Linked DNA regions of Callithrix jacchus. The protein of the gene in region 2 interacts with the protein of the main gene of each other region in a pairwise test. Links are inferred from orthologs where the notes say so. Each region holds a gene or a part of one and is shown on either strand. Other genes may lie near its edges.

Evidence for each region.
Region 1: the proteins of CCDC116 (region 2) and BEX3 interact in binary tests that used the Homo sapiens proteins (3 or more experiments, as listed by UniProt). The two-hybrid records come from large-scale screens. The link is inferred for Callithrix jacchus from reciprocal best matches to the Homo sapiens genes CCDC116 and BEX3.
Region 3: the proteins of CCDC116 (region 2) and MTUS2 interact in binary tests that used the Homo sapiens proteins (3 or more experiments, as listed by UniProt). The two-hybrid records come from large-scale screens. The link is inferred for Callithrix jacchus from reciprocal best matches to the Homo sapiens genes CCDC116 and MTUS2.

Annotation. Positions count from the first base shown.
Region 1 is NC_133524.1:99,447,083-99,450,733, reverse strand, and holds BEX3 (protein BEX3), read right to left. Parts: upstream 2,026-3,651; 5' UTR 1,950-2,025; intron 1,548-1,949; 5' UTR 1,469-1,547; intron 1,115-1,468; 5' UTR 1,086-1,114; coding exon 750-1,085; 3' UTR 502-749; downstream 1-501. UniProt on the Homo sapiens protein: May be a signaling adapter molecule involved in NGFR/p75NTR-mediated apoptosis induced by NGF. Plays a role in zinc-triggered neuronal death.
Region 2 is NC_133502.1:193,586,345-193,590,779, reverse strand, and holds the start of CCDC116 (coiled-coil domain-containing protein 116), read right to left. Parts: upstream 2,841-4,435; 5' UTR 1-2,840. Other genes in the region: UBE2L3 (ubiquitin-conjugating enzyme E2 L3), read right to left, coding at 2,841-2,995.
Region 3 is NC_133506.1:148,710,420-148,714,064, reverse strand, and holds the end of MTUS2 (microtubule-associated tumor suppressor candidate 2), read right to left. Parts: intron 2,997-3,645; coding exon 2,783-2,996; 3' UTR 74-2,782; downstream 1-73. UniProt on the Homo sapiens protein: Binds microtubules. Together with MAPRE1 may target the microtubule depolymerase KIF2C to the plus-end of microtubules. May regulate the dynamics of microtubules at their growing distal tip.

The DNA.
Region 1 (3,651 bases), on a different chromosome or scaffold from region 2:
TCTGGACTACATTCATAATCCATTCATAATCTCATTTAAAAATAATTTTCATTGCTTCTCAAACTCCAGATAATAAAAGAAAAAAAGTGTCACATACCTTTTTTTTTTTTTTTTTGAGACAGAGTCTTGCTCTGTCGCCCAGGCTGGAGTGCAGTGGCACAGTCTCAGCTCAGGCTCACTGCAACCTCCGCCTCCTGAGTTCAAGCATTTCTCCTGCCTCAGCCTCTTAAGTAGCTGGGACTAAAAGCGTGGGCTACCTCGCCCAACTAATTTTTTGTATTTTTTTTTAGTAGAGATGGGGTTTCACTGTGTTAACCAGGATTGTCTTGATCTGCTGACCCAGTGATCCGACCCTTGGCCTCCCAAATTGCTGGGATTACAATTACCATAGAAAAATATGCCCCAATTAACACTCTGGTGTATTTAATCTCAGATTTTTTTTTTAGTTCATCTGTTATATGTAAGGATACATTTTTAATGAGACAATACTAAATGTATAGATTGTTTTTTAAATTGCTTTATTAACTTTAAATTTTTCCATGCACATGGGTGAAACTCTACTGCTGACAGAAACTTAGACTGAGTGCAAAGGCAATCTCCAATTAGAAGCTGGCAATACAAGACCCACTTGACACATGGAAATAACATAGGGTTCACAGCAAACGGATCAGTAAAGGCATATTAGGAAAATGCAAGGAAAAGGAAAACAGCGAGAATCACAGTATTAATCTCATGATAAATGGCAGGAATCAAGGCATAAGGCAAAATTCATCATGATGGTCGTGGTGATTCGAGAGCTCCCCCATAAGGATACGCAGACAATTCCTCAACTGCAGCTCCCTAAGTTTTCTCCTGATTTCTCTCATCTCCTCCATGAATATTTCCATATCATCTCCATCTCCACCCATCCCATCATTGACCTGCCTATTGGGTATGGCCCATCGAAAATTAGGGGCAAGTCGGCGAGCCTGTGCCCGTCGATTTCCTGCAGGCTGGTGGCCTTCACCTCCTCCCAAAGGGCGGTCTTCCTCTCCATTCTGCATGGGCTGCTCCATCTCTTCGTTTTCCTGGTGAATATTTGCCATGATGAGATTTTTTTTTTCTGGTTGTTTTTCTTTGAACACAAGTAAGACAAAGGCAAGGAGAGAGACTGAATGCTTGGTACACTGACCAGCAGGATTCAGAGCCCTGATATCAAAGGATTTAATTTCATATTTTCCCACCTTAGAAGTTCCGTGCGTCCTCTAGGGGGCCTCCAATTAGAGCCCCTCCCTCCAGCTTTCTCCCCTTACCTCCCTTCCCCCAAACCCACCATTTTTCCTTTCCCAAGATTCTTTCTCAGAGCTTCGCAGGCAGCAAAATGGAGGACGGGTGTAGGAGTGGGGGGATGGGGTGGAGAGGGCTGGGGTCTCAGACTGGGCTTTCCTCACGCTCGGACCCCCGCACCACCACCGTCCCTCGCACCGACCTGGGCCTATCCTTGCGGTCTCCTCCTCCTCCGGATTCTCGCCCCGAGGTGCGCCGCCGGGACACTTAGCCTCGCAGACCTGCAGATGGGCAGGGGTGGGGGGATGGGGGCTCCTGCAGCGGAACGCTAGCAAGGATTATCCACCACCCAGCTCCTTCCCCGCCCCGGGCCCGGGCTTTCCTTGCGGCCAGCGCCCCGCGTCCCGCACTCCGCGCCCCCACCCTCAGCCGCCCCACCCCCCCGCGGTGTTCAACGTTTTCCTGCAGGAACTCGGGGGTGGTTTTCCCTCGCTCTTGGTTGCTCTGCTGCCCCTAGGACCCCAGCCGCTCCAGCTTGCCCACCCCAGGTGGCCTCTATGTTCCCAAGAATGTTGGGGTGTGGAGAAAACTGGCGGGGACCCCCTGCGCTGTTCTGCGCCCGTCGCGGGGGTCCGTGAGCCGCTGCCGGCCAGGCCGGGGTGCACGGACCCCGGGGATCTTACCTGCTCCGCTTTTCCCCGGGCCGGATGCCAGCCCGCCGAGCGCAGGGCAGCGGGGAGCTGGTAGCCAGACGCGAGTGACGACTGCACCGAAGGCTGCGTAGCTCTGCAGCTCTGGGTCACGTGAGGGCCGCGCGTCACCGCTGAGCTCGCCCCTCAACTTGGGCGGCCAGTGCAGCAGGATCTCCCCCCTTTCCCCCACCCCCGCCGCCAAATGCCCGCGCAAAAAGCAGCCTCCCTACTCCCGTCTGCGTGAGGTGCCCCAGAGCGCACCGCTCTGTCACTCTTCTGTCCTCTCCAATCTGAGGGCCCACAAGTGGCATCACTGCTCTGCGGTTGGAGTTTGCTCTCCTCTGGTTACCAGGGAGAGTCTGCACTATCCTCCACCACCGCCTCCTCTCACTCTAGGCCTTGGCTTTGGCCTTTTCTACTTTCTCTTCCCTTCTACCTGTCACTTTGCGCTGCATTCCCACCCCTACCCCTTGCATGTGCACAGTCACCAATGCCCATGTAGCCCCTGAAGTCCTACCCTTCTGGAAAATTTAGAGTGAGGGCAAAGGTGGGAAGGCAGGACGGCACTTGTCAGAAAGAGGGGCAAGGAAGTGGAGTGGGCAGTATCTATTTCTTTTTGTTTCCTTTTCTTTAAAAATCTGCATGCTTCAGAAAATTATAAATTCTAACTTTTCAATTTTGAAGGAAATGCTGGCCGGTGGCCATGGCGCACCTGCAATCCCAGCACTTTGGGAGGCCGAGGTGGGCGGATCGGTTGAGGCCAGGAGTTCGAGACCAGCCTGGCCAACATGGTGAGACCCCTGTCTCTACTAAAAATACAAAAATTAGCCGGGTGTGGTGGCGCGCGCATGTAATCCCAGCTGCTCAGGAGGCTGAGGCAGGAGAATCACTTGAACCCTGGAGGGAGAGGTTGCAGTGATCTGGGATTGCATCACTGCACTCCAGCTTGGGTGACAGATCCTGTCAAAAAAAAGGAAATGCTTTATCCTACAGAATGAAATCTTTCACTGTTTATGTTGACCTGTACCACACAAAATATTTTCTCTGAGCTCCACACACATCAAACCATTACTTTTGATACCTACTAGCTCATTTAAAATTTTATCTTCATAAAAAGTAGGCACTCTTTCTGAACACAATTGGTGTTTTCAAAATGATCTGTAAAGTAAATTTTCAGGGAGATGTCCAGTCCTCAGATCTTCACCATTTCATGTAACTTTGATGTTTTTGATACCACAGTCATCAGAGAAAGGGAGTCTTTTATTCTCTGCTTTCCTTTCTAAACCTTTCAAACCATCCCTACAAATATCTTCTTAGAATGAAATCAGAAGTTAAGTACATATTATTCAGAAATTAGTTTCAAAGCCATCTACCCTTTTCTGCGAATGTTTCAAAATATATTAGGAATAAGCAGGGAATGTGTGAAACAACAAGTTGAGACTGAACCTCATCCTGAGTGCAAATGTTCCTTTCTCCAACTTGAAATCATTTAAAAAAATTATCACAGCTAGAAAATGAGATGTCTTTAGGAAAGTGGCATTGTTATAAAAAATATTTGGTATCTGTTGTTTATAATAAGGAACCAAAAGCATTAAATGCAGCACTGAGACAGGAAAGGTCAGACAAATGCTTACTATCTCTGGTTTTGGCCCCAAACTCCTATGTAATTTCGTACCCTGCTAAACCAGATGAC
Region 2 (4,435 bases):
GAGACTCATAGTGTTTCTGGCTGGCACCATTCATGGAAATGGCCCAGCCCTACCCTCAGGCACACCCTTATTAATTCTGTGACCTCTTGGGATCCCAGGTTTGCTTCTTCTCAACATGGATTATAACACTCCCAGGGGGCTTCAGGATGACCCACGAATGGAAATGCTGCACCCATGGATGGCAGTCCCTCTCCCCTCACAAGACACCCAAGAGCACCCTCTGCAGACCCCAACTGTCCAGACTCCCTGGCTTTTCTCATTGATTATACCTCATCTCCTTCCCTTTAGGGAGGCAGGAACACCTCTAGGTACCTCTTCTGGAGAGGCTGGGAATGGGTAGAGAGATCAACAGTCCCAGGACCTGGCCCTAGCCAGCCCTCCCATCTCCCATCTCCAAGAGCATAGGCCCCTGCCACTGCCCACTCCCAGGAAGGAAGAAACCCACACGACTAACCAGTGTCTGAGAGCATTTTTATTAAGGGCAGCAGAACGGGATCACAGCATCTTAGACAGCCTATTCTCTGCCGTGGTGGGGAGTAGGGAGCAGAGGGAAGGACCCGGCACACTTCAAGGAACCAGGCGGGTGTGAATTCCTGAGTGAGCTCGGGGCAGCGGTGGGTGGCTGCTCCACAGCTCGCCCCTCCAGAGGACCCAGCTTTTTGGTTTTGGAGCAGCCAGGGCTGTTCACCAGCTTGCTCAGAGCCTACCCTGAGGGCACAGCTGGCAGGAGGAAGCCCCCCAGGCCCGAGGAAGAGACACCCACTGGCTCAAAAGCCAGGCCTCTGCTAATGGGGCCAACCCTGGGGTGCCAGTGCCAGGGCTGAAGAGTCCCTGAGGGGCTGCCGGCACGCAGGTATCCACCCGTGGTGAGCAGAGTGAAGTGAGGGGCTGACAGGCAGGCAGAGCTACATTGGCAGAAATATGAAGCAATGGGACAGTTTCCAAGAATGGCAACATTTCTGGATCAAGAGAAGCAACAAGAACAAATGGTGGCTTGTTTGGATAGCTTCTGACAGAATTTGGCATTTTATTACAAATTGGAGTGTGAGTGAAATAAAATCCATCATCACTTTTCTGCTAATGAAGAGACAGATGTGGAAAAACCCAGTCCGGTGCCCTTGCCATCCTGGGCACACCGGAGTCTCCAGAAACCTGCCCTTGGCGTACCTAGGACAAAAGAAGCTGAGATCACGTACACACCGCAGGGGCCATGCGCCTGGACAACTGAACAATGTTAGGCCGCCTAACCTGCCCATCACTCCCCACTTCTGCACAGGCCAGACTAAGCTGTCTTACAGGCCTGTAGGCCCTGGAAAGATCTCAAATTATAGAATTAAAATTAAAACAAAAAGCAAAGATTAAGTCATCTTATTCACAGGATCTAGTCCCCCCCAAAAGCCACAAAGGGAAGCCGTCAGTAGCAGAAGTGGGGTTGGTGAGACACGGCATTTGGATCGTCGGCTTCCTTGGGGTGTCAGAACAACACAGATTCTCTACTAGTTTGGTGACAGTCCCGTATGCCTTGAAAAGACATTAATATTCAAATCTTTACAAGTTTATCTGATGATAAATTCTAAGGTCATTTTTATTTCTACAAAAAAAGGCAGTCAAAACAATATAAAACACATTGAAAGGATATTACTGAGTGAGCTTCACGTGGAGCTTGACTCTGCAAAGGCTGTGAGTCCAAAGGGAGAGGGAAGTCCATCTTGTTCCTGGGCTGGGCCGGCTGCTCTGGAGGAAGGGGCCAGAAGGGGCCCCGGCAACCCCAGACTGGTGCTTTAACTAGCTGAGTCCTGCCAATTCCAATCTTGCAAAGGGTCAAAGTGTGCCAAGGGAGGGCTGTGGCGGGGCCGCTGCACAGAGGAAGTGGAGAGCAAGCTCCGTGGCACATTCAGATGGAGCTCGGTGACAGATGAGCTGGGAATTTCAAACGGACATTCTGGCTGTAGCTTTGCCTGCAAGGACCAGCAGATCTTCTAAAATGGCTGCAGAGAGGAGTGCCAACCTGGGACCAGAGGAGTGCCAACCTGGGACCGCAGGAGCCCTCTGGCAAGATTCATCACACACAGTGTGCACAGCATCCTCCTGACTAGCAGGCCCCCCCTTTTAGGGCCACCACAGACCTGTGATTATACGGTTTCTCTGTGCAGGCCAGGCCAGAAGTCAGTCACACACTGACACAAGGGCTTGCCCGATTAACTGATGTTACTGTGGTAACATCAGCTGGAGTTTCACACAAGAACTGGGGAGAAGGACTGGATGAGGGGTGTAGCTGTTTGCTTATTTTTAAATTTTTAAAAAGGATATTATAAACTGGAATCAGAATTTAAACCAGCTCCCACACTGGGCAACAGTCCCACACATGTGAGAAAAAGCCACCAGGACCGCCAGGGCTGTCTCTTCTCCTTTGTGGAGGCGGTGGAGCCCGGGTCTGGGGAAGTAAGTAAGTGAAAAATAAACTGCCAGAAAGTGGGAGTGGCAAAGGTAGGGAAGAAGGGGTATACAATTTTTTTTTTATAAACCTTATGGGCTAAATGTAACTTGAAGATTTTGGATAAAATTGGACAAGAAAAGAAACACCATTGTTTTGAAGTAGATTGAAGCAGTGATTTTTAAAACAAAGAGAGCAGAACTAGAACATCTTAAATTTTTAATCCTTTCTTTACAGGTTACCTAGACCACTTTTGATTAAGAAAACTGTAGAAAGTTAGTAACTGCCACAAGCGAACGCCAGGCGGTGGCACGTGTCAATTTCCACAGAGTCCTGCTTTGCGGGGTGTCTGAATGCACTGCACGGGGTCTCTGCTCACACCTGCTGGAACCAATCGTGGCAGATTTTAGTCCACAGGTCGCTTTTCCCCATATTTCTTTGTAAACTCTTCAGCATTCTTACAGAATTTTTTACGGTCCTTAGAGTATTCTTCAGCTAGGTCAGCCCGAAGTGGGTGCTCGGGCTGGGGGTCATTCACCAGTGCTATGAGGGACTGGATTACTGCCAAGAGAAGGACAAGGCATGGGGGGTTAACACAGTCTCAGAAATGGCACAGGCAAGAGGCAGCTCATCCCAGGAACAAAACTGGCTTCACCACTGGTTTACGGCTAATTTGCTTTTTCAGCCAAAGCACCCTCTATTCATCCAGAATTCTGACCACCAGAACTCAACTTATCTTTCCTCTGTGATTAGGAGAAACTGATGGACAACAAACAGCTAACACTACAGTGTATAACTGTTCACAGTGATGTGTTTCCACCTCCAGGAAGCTTTCTTGACCTAATACCTGGGGAGCTCTTAGCCCTCAGTCACTCCCAGCCCTTTTTTTGGCTGGGGTAGGGGAGGGGGGAAGAGGAAAGGAAGGAGCGGGGAGAGACAGGGTGTCACTCTGTCACCCAGGCTGGAGTGCAGTGGCACAATCTTGGCTCACTGCAGCCCTGACCTCCTGGGTTGACCTCAAGCAATCCTCTGGCCTCAGCCCTCTGAGTGGCTGGGACTACAGGTGCGCACCACCATGCCTGGCTAATCCAGCCCTCTTGTCTGCTCTGGAGATAGGAGGCCTAGTATTGAACCGCTCACTCTCACACATGCACGCAGGGTCACTTTCTTCAGGGCAGGACTAGGTAGAACTTCCCTGCATCAGTCCAGCACCATGCTCACCTCAGGGAAGTTTCCATAAAGGTGACTGAGTAGGCACCAGAAAGAAGGGTATGTGGCGGTGTTTCACTTGTCAGTGTGCAACGACCAACTGGAAGACCCTTAGGAGTTTCTGAACCCTCCAGAAAGAGTAACTGGGGCCAGCCAATGGGAAGCTGACAACCGCCATCATATCACACTGTCAAGACCACAGGCAGACATAACACCGATGGCTCTGACGGGTGGTGCCACAGCCCAGACGTGCCCTGGGATGGAAGGATAGTGGGGAATCAGAAGCAGCTGCTGCTTCTTGCATACTTGCCTCCTCACATACTTGCCACAGTTGCTCCCTGACCCCATCAGGACTGGCAACCCCAGAATGTTTCTTCTCACTGTAGAACAGTGCCCCTCTTCTCCAAACTGCTGATGCCACAAATTCCTTCCTCTTTTTTTCTAGACAGTCTTGCTGTCACTCAGGTTGGAGCACAGTGGCTCATATATTTTTCTTCACCGTACCCTCAAACTCCTAGGTATAAGCGATTATCCTGCCTCAGCTTCCTGAGTAGCTAAGACTCACAAGCACATGCCATCACACCCAGCTAATTTTTTTTTTTTTTTTTTTTTTTTGAGAGAGTCTCACTCTGTCACCTAGGCACAGTGGTGCAATCACAGCTCACTGCAGTCTTGATCTCCTGGGCTCAAGCAATTCTCCCATCTTGGCCTTACTGAGGGCTCATATTGTTCACCCAGCATTACAAGAAATGGATTAAAATGCTGATGCTGGCCGGGCAGATCACTTGAGGT
Region 3 (3,645 bases), on a different chromosome or scaffold from region 2:
TTGCCTCCCTGCCTGGAATCCCCAGCATGAGAGGGACAGGTCTCCAGTTACATCAAGCAGGTATCACAGAAAGTCCCTCGAGTTTACTTTAATAGGCTTTAGAGTTAAACACAAATATGCAACACAAACCATAGGGGCAGGAAAAAAGATGTTGTGACCCCATTCATTCAACTAATCACGGTTGGGGCCGCCCCCATCCCCACCTGTTCTGACATTCGACCAGAACCTTGTCCCAGCATGTGGTGGCCAGGGGCAGGGGTGGGGGCAGGCCGCCCACGCATCTCCAAACGCCACGAAGAGACCGGTGGTATCTGGTGGGTCTGTCTGAGGCAGGTGCGGAGGCTGCAGCATCCAAACGTGGAAACGTCACTCCAGCCTGGAAGGGGACAGAGGCGGATGCCATGTGGAGAGAAATCCTAATCCTGATGGCGTGGAGGGATGGAAGAATCGAGGAGGAGGCATAGCAGCTGCCACCCCATGGCTCAGATGAAGGGCCATACATGATGGGTGTCCGTGACAAAAAAAACAAAACAAAACACAAAAACAAACGAAAATGAAGCCAGGGCCATGTGGAAATTAGCCCAAGTACCCAAGGTCAGGGCGGATTAGGGCAAAGCTCTCAGCAAAGTCCACCTAATGAGGAATTACTTAGTGCTAACAATGCTACAACTCCGACCACAGCAGCCTAACACACTGTACCACGTCCTAGCATCACACGGAAGTCGGTATTGCTGTGTAACTGCATTTAGCAGGTGCGGCTATGTAAGCAGTTCCTAATTCGGACAGCTAAGCTGTAACCGAATTTGTGTTTGCAGGTTGTGGCTGCTACAAGAATAAATAATTGTGTACTTAGTCAATGTGGCATGATCTACTCTAATGGAATGCCCAACTCAATATCACAGTATCATGCAGAGCCACTAAAGCAGAGAAATGGTGCTTCCATGTGGATTTACTGTGTATGTCCCCAGAAGGAACAAGACCCTTGGAGGCTTGCTGGAGATGTACCTGAGGCCCGGGAGCCCAGCTTGGACTCATGCTAGGGCCAGGGACCATGTCTGTCTTTGTGCTGGCCACACATGTGCCGAGTAGGCGTGCCCTGGACAAGCCGACCTCATCCTCGGGCTGTTTCTTCCCTGCTCCATGGCTCCAGCCCCTGTAGGACCCTCTCATGGTTCTTCTCATCTTGGACATGCTCAAAGACAGGCCTGTGCTCAGGATAATTCTGGGGGGCCTCAGAGAGATAGTGCAGGGTCTTTGTCATACACAAGGAAACAAGGGCATCATCATCATCACCATATGTGTTAAAACTACTTCCTTTTGTGTATCATGCTCCTAATCTTCCACACCACTACATGAGTACTGTTTACATCCTAATTCTACCATTTTAGAGACAGGTGCCAGTCCAGGATGTGGTGCCGCCTGGCTGGCTGCTTCACTGCGCTCCTCTGTCTGGGAGAACCTTCTGGGTCTAAGATGGCAGCACAGTCAGCGGTAGCATTGCCTGATCACATAGAAGGAAGTGCAAGCGGGTTTCTGGGTGGTGGTGTGATGATCTAGCACAGCTCAGAACTGGTCCCCCGGGACAGAAAATGGTGTTTTTCCCAGACGCCCCTGCTAGAACCCCTGAGCCACCTCAATGTGCAGTGAAGGGGTTGAGCTGTAGAACCAAATTGAAAAGGGGACTGCTATGAAGTGGGGGCCTGAGGGTCATATTTCAACAAGTTGATCATTTACAGCATTGCATCAGAGCGAACCACATGGAAAGCTGGCGTGACGGTCCCACTCTGTGCCTGGTCAAAATACAGACCCTAGCAGCAATTTCCTTCATGAGGATGGAGCGTGAACGGGCGCAGTCATCTCCAAGGCCATCCTCACTCTCACTCAAACGTCATGCTCTGCCATGTTTTCCCAGGGGTGCAACAGTAGCTTAATGACCGAGTCTGAGATGCCATTTAGGAAAAAAGCAAAACTTGTTTACAAGACTATTGGAGATGAGTCACTGTCATAAGTCACATCTGAAAAACTGCTAATCCCCCTTAGGGTTTCCCACGGCTCTCCCTTATCCACGCATGGCAGGCGTATTAATAATTAAAACTTGCGAATGGAAGAATGGTGACCTCACATCACGTTGACTAAGAAGCTGATTGTTCCAAAGGCAGTTACCATTCACAAATCGCTGGTGTTCGTGTAAAGAGAGTACCACTTGGTGGTGAGTTGAAAGGCGCTTCTTCTCTGTATCCTTTTTTTTTTCCTTTTTCTATTTTGGGTAGAAATATTCCTGGGAAGCTAGATAGAAATGCATTTTCATTTCCCAATAATTCTTAGGCACAAGTTAGAAAACTGCTGACCTTCACTAAAATATGTCAGCACTTCATAAAAAATGCAATTCGGAACCGCCGCATGTGTATATATGTGTATCTAAATATACACACATACCGGTGCAGTACACAAAGATTATTCAATGTATATTGAAAACTGAGCTTTTGGTAACTAACCTGAAATACTGCAGTGAAAGTTCATTGCTCAAGAACAATTGCAAGTGTCTTTCTTTTGGCTCTAACTATGGTAAAACGTTTGCACATCAGACTTTACCGTTTACACGTTCCTAAGTGCTGACACCAGGGCAGTCTTACACGGGGATCAGAGGAGGACGCGCCTTGGATGCATTTGCAGCTACTGAAGCATGCGTGCAGGGCCAGCTCCGGCAGCACCGGGTCAGTGCTCCCTCAGGGTGGAGACAGGAGGGCGAGAAGCCGGAGCTCCCGCAGGCCGCGTGGTGGCGTCATCTGGGAGTCATGCTGACTCTGGCCGGAGAGGAGGGCCCCGAGGAGGAGCCGCGGTAAACGGGAGATGTGGGCGAGAGTTTAATGGGGCTGGTTGGGTCTCCGGTTTGGAGCTTCCAAAGCAGCTCTTCGTTGGTTCGGCTCAATCTCTTCTTCTCCTGGGTTTCCTTCTCAACATATTCCTGGAGGTTAGCATTTTCCTCCGACAGTTGTCTGCATGGGCACAACGACAATCAATCAAGTAGCAATCATGTTGGTGGACACTGAACCTGAGGTCGGGACAATGAGTGCAGGGCAAGGAGAGGAGGCTGTGATGCCCGCAAGGAGAACGGGGACCAGGGCGGCCCCGTGACCAAGAACACTGATTGAATCATGATTTCCACTTGGCCCAATGACACTTCTGTTCCCAGAGGCTCTCTGGCCAACACCCATCATCTCACAGGCCCTCTGCCCGGTCAGGGGAGGCACTGCTCTGTCTATCCACTGGAAAGAGCAAAGGTCCAGTGACTGAACAGAGGGAAGTGGAGAGCTGGAGTGGGTATGCTGCCAGGAGGCCCCAAGAGGACAGTCAGCTGCAGAGGTGGCAATTGACAATGACAACAGCACAAGGGCAGAGACAAGCTGCCAGCCTTCCTGAGCCTGCCAGGAAACTGGGGATGCCTTCTCCTGGCCTCCCTGCCCCAGGCTTGCGCCTCCAGGACAGCAGGCATCCTCCCTTGCTAGAAATGCTGCTCTGTGGGTCTGTCTGCCTGCTGGACTGCGAGCTCTGGAGGGCAGAAACCAAGGTTCTGCTTGCTGAACCCCAGCATCCAGCAGGTGCCAGGCACATAATAGATGCTCAGTTAATGTTTGCTGATAAAGG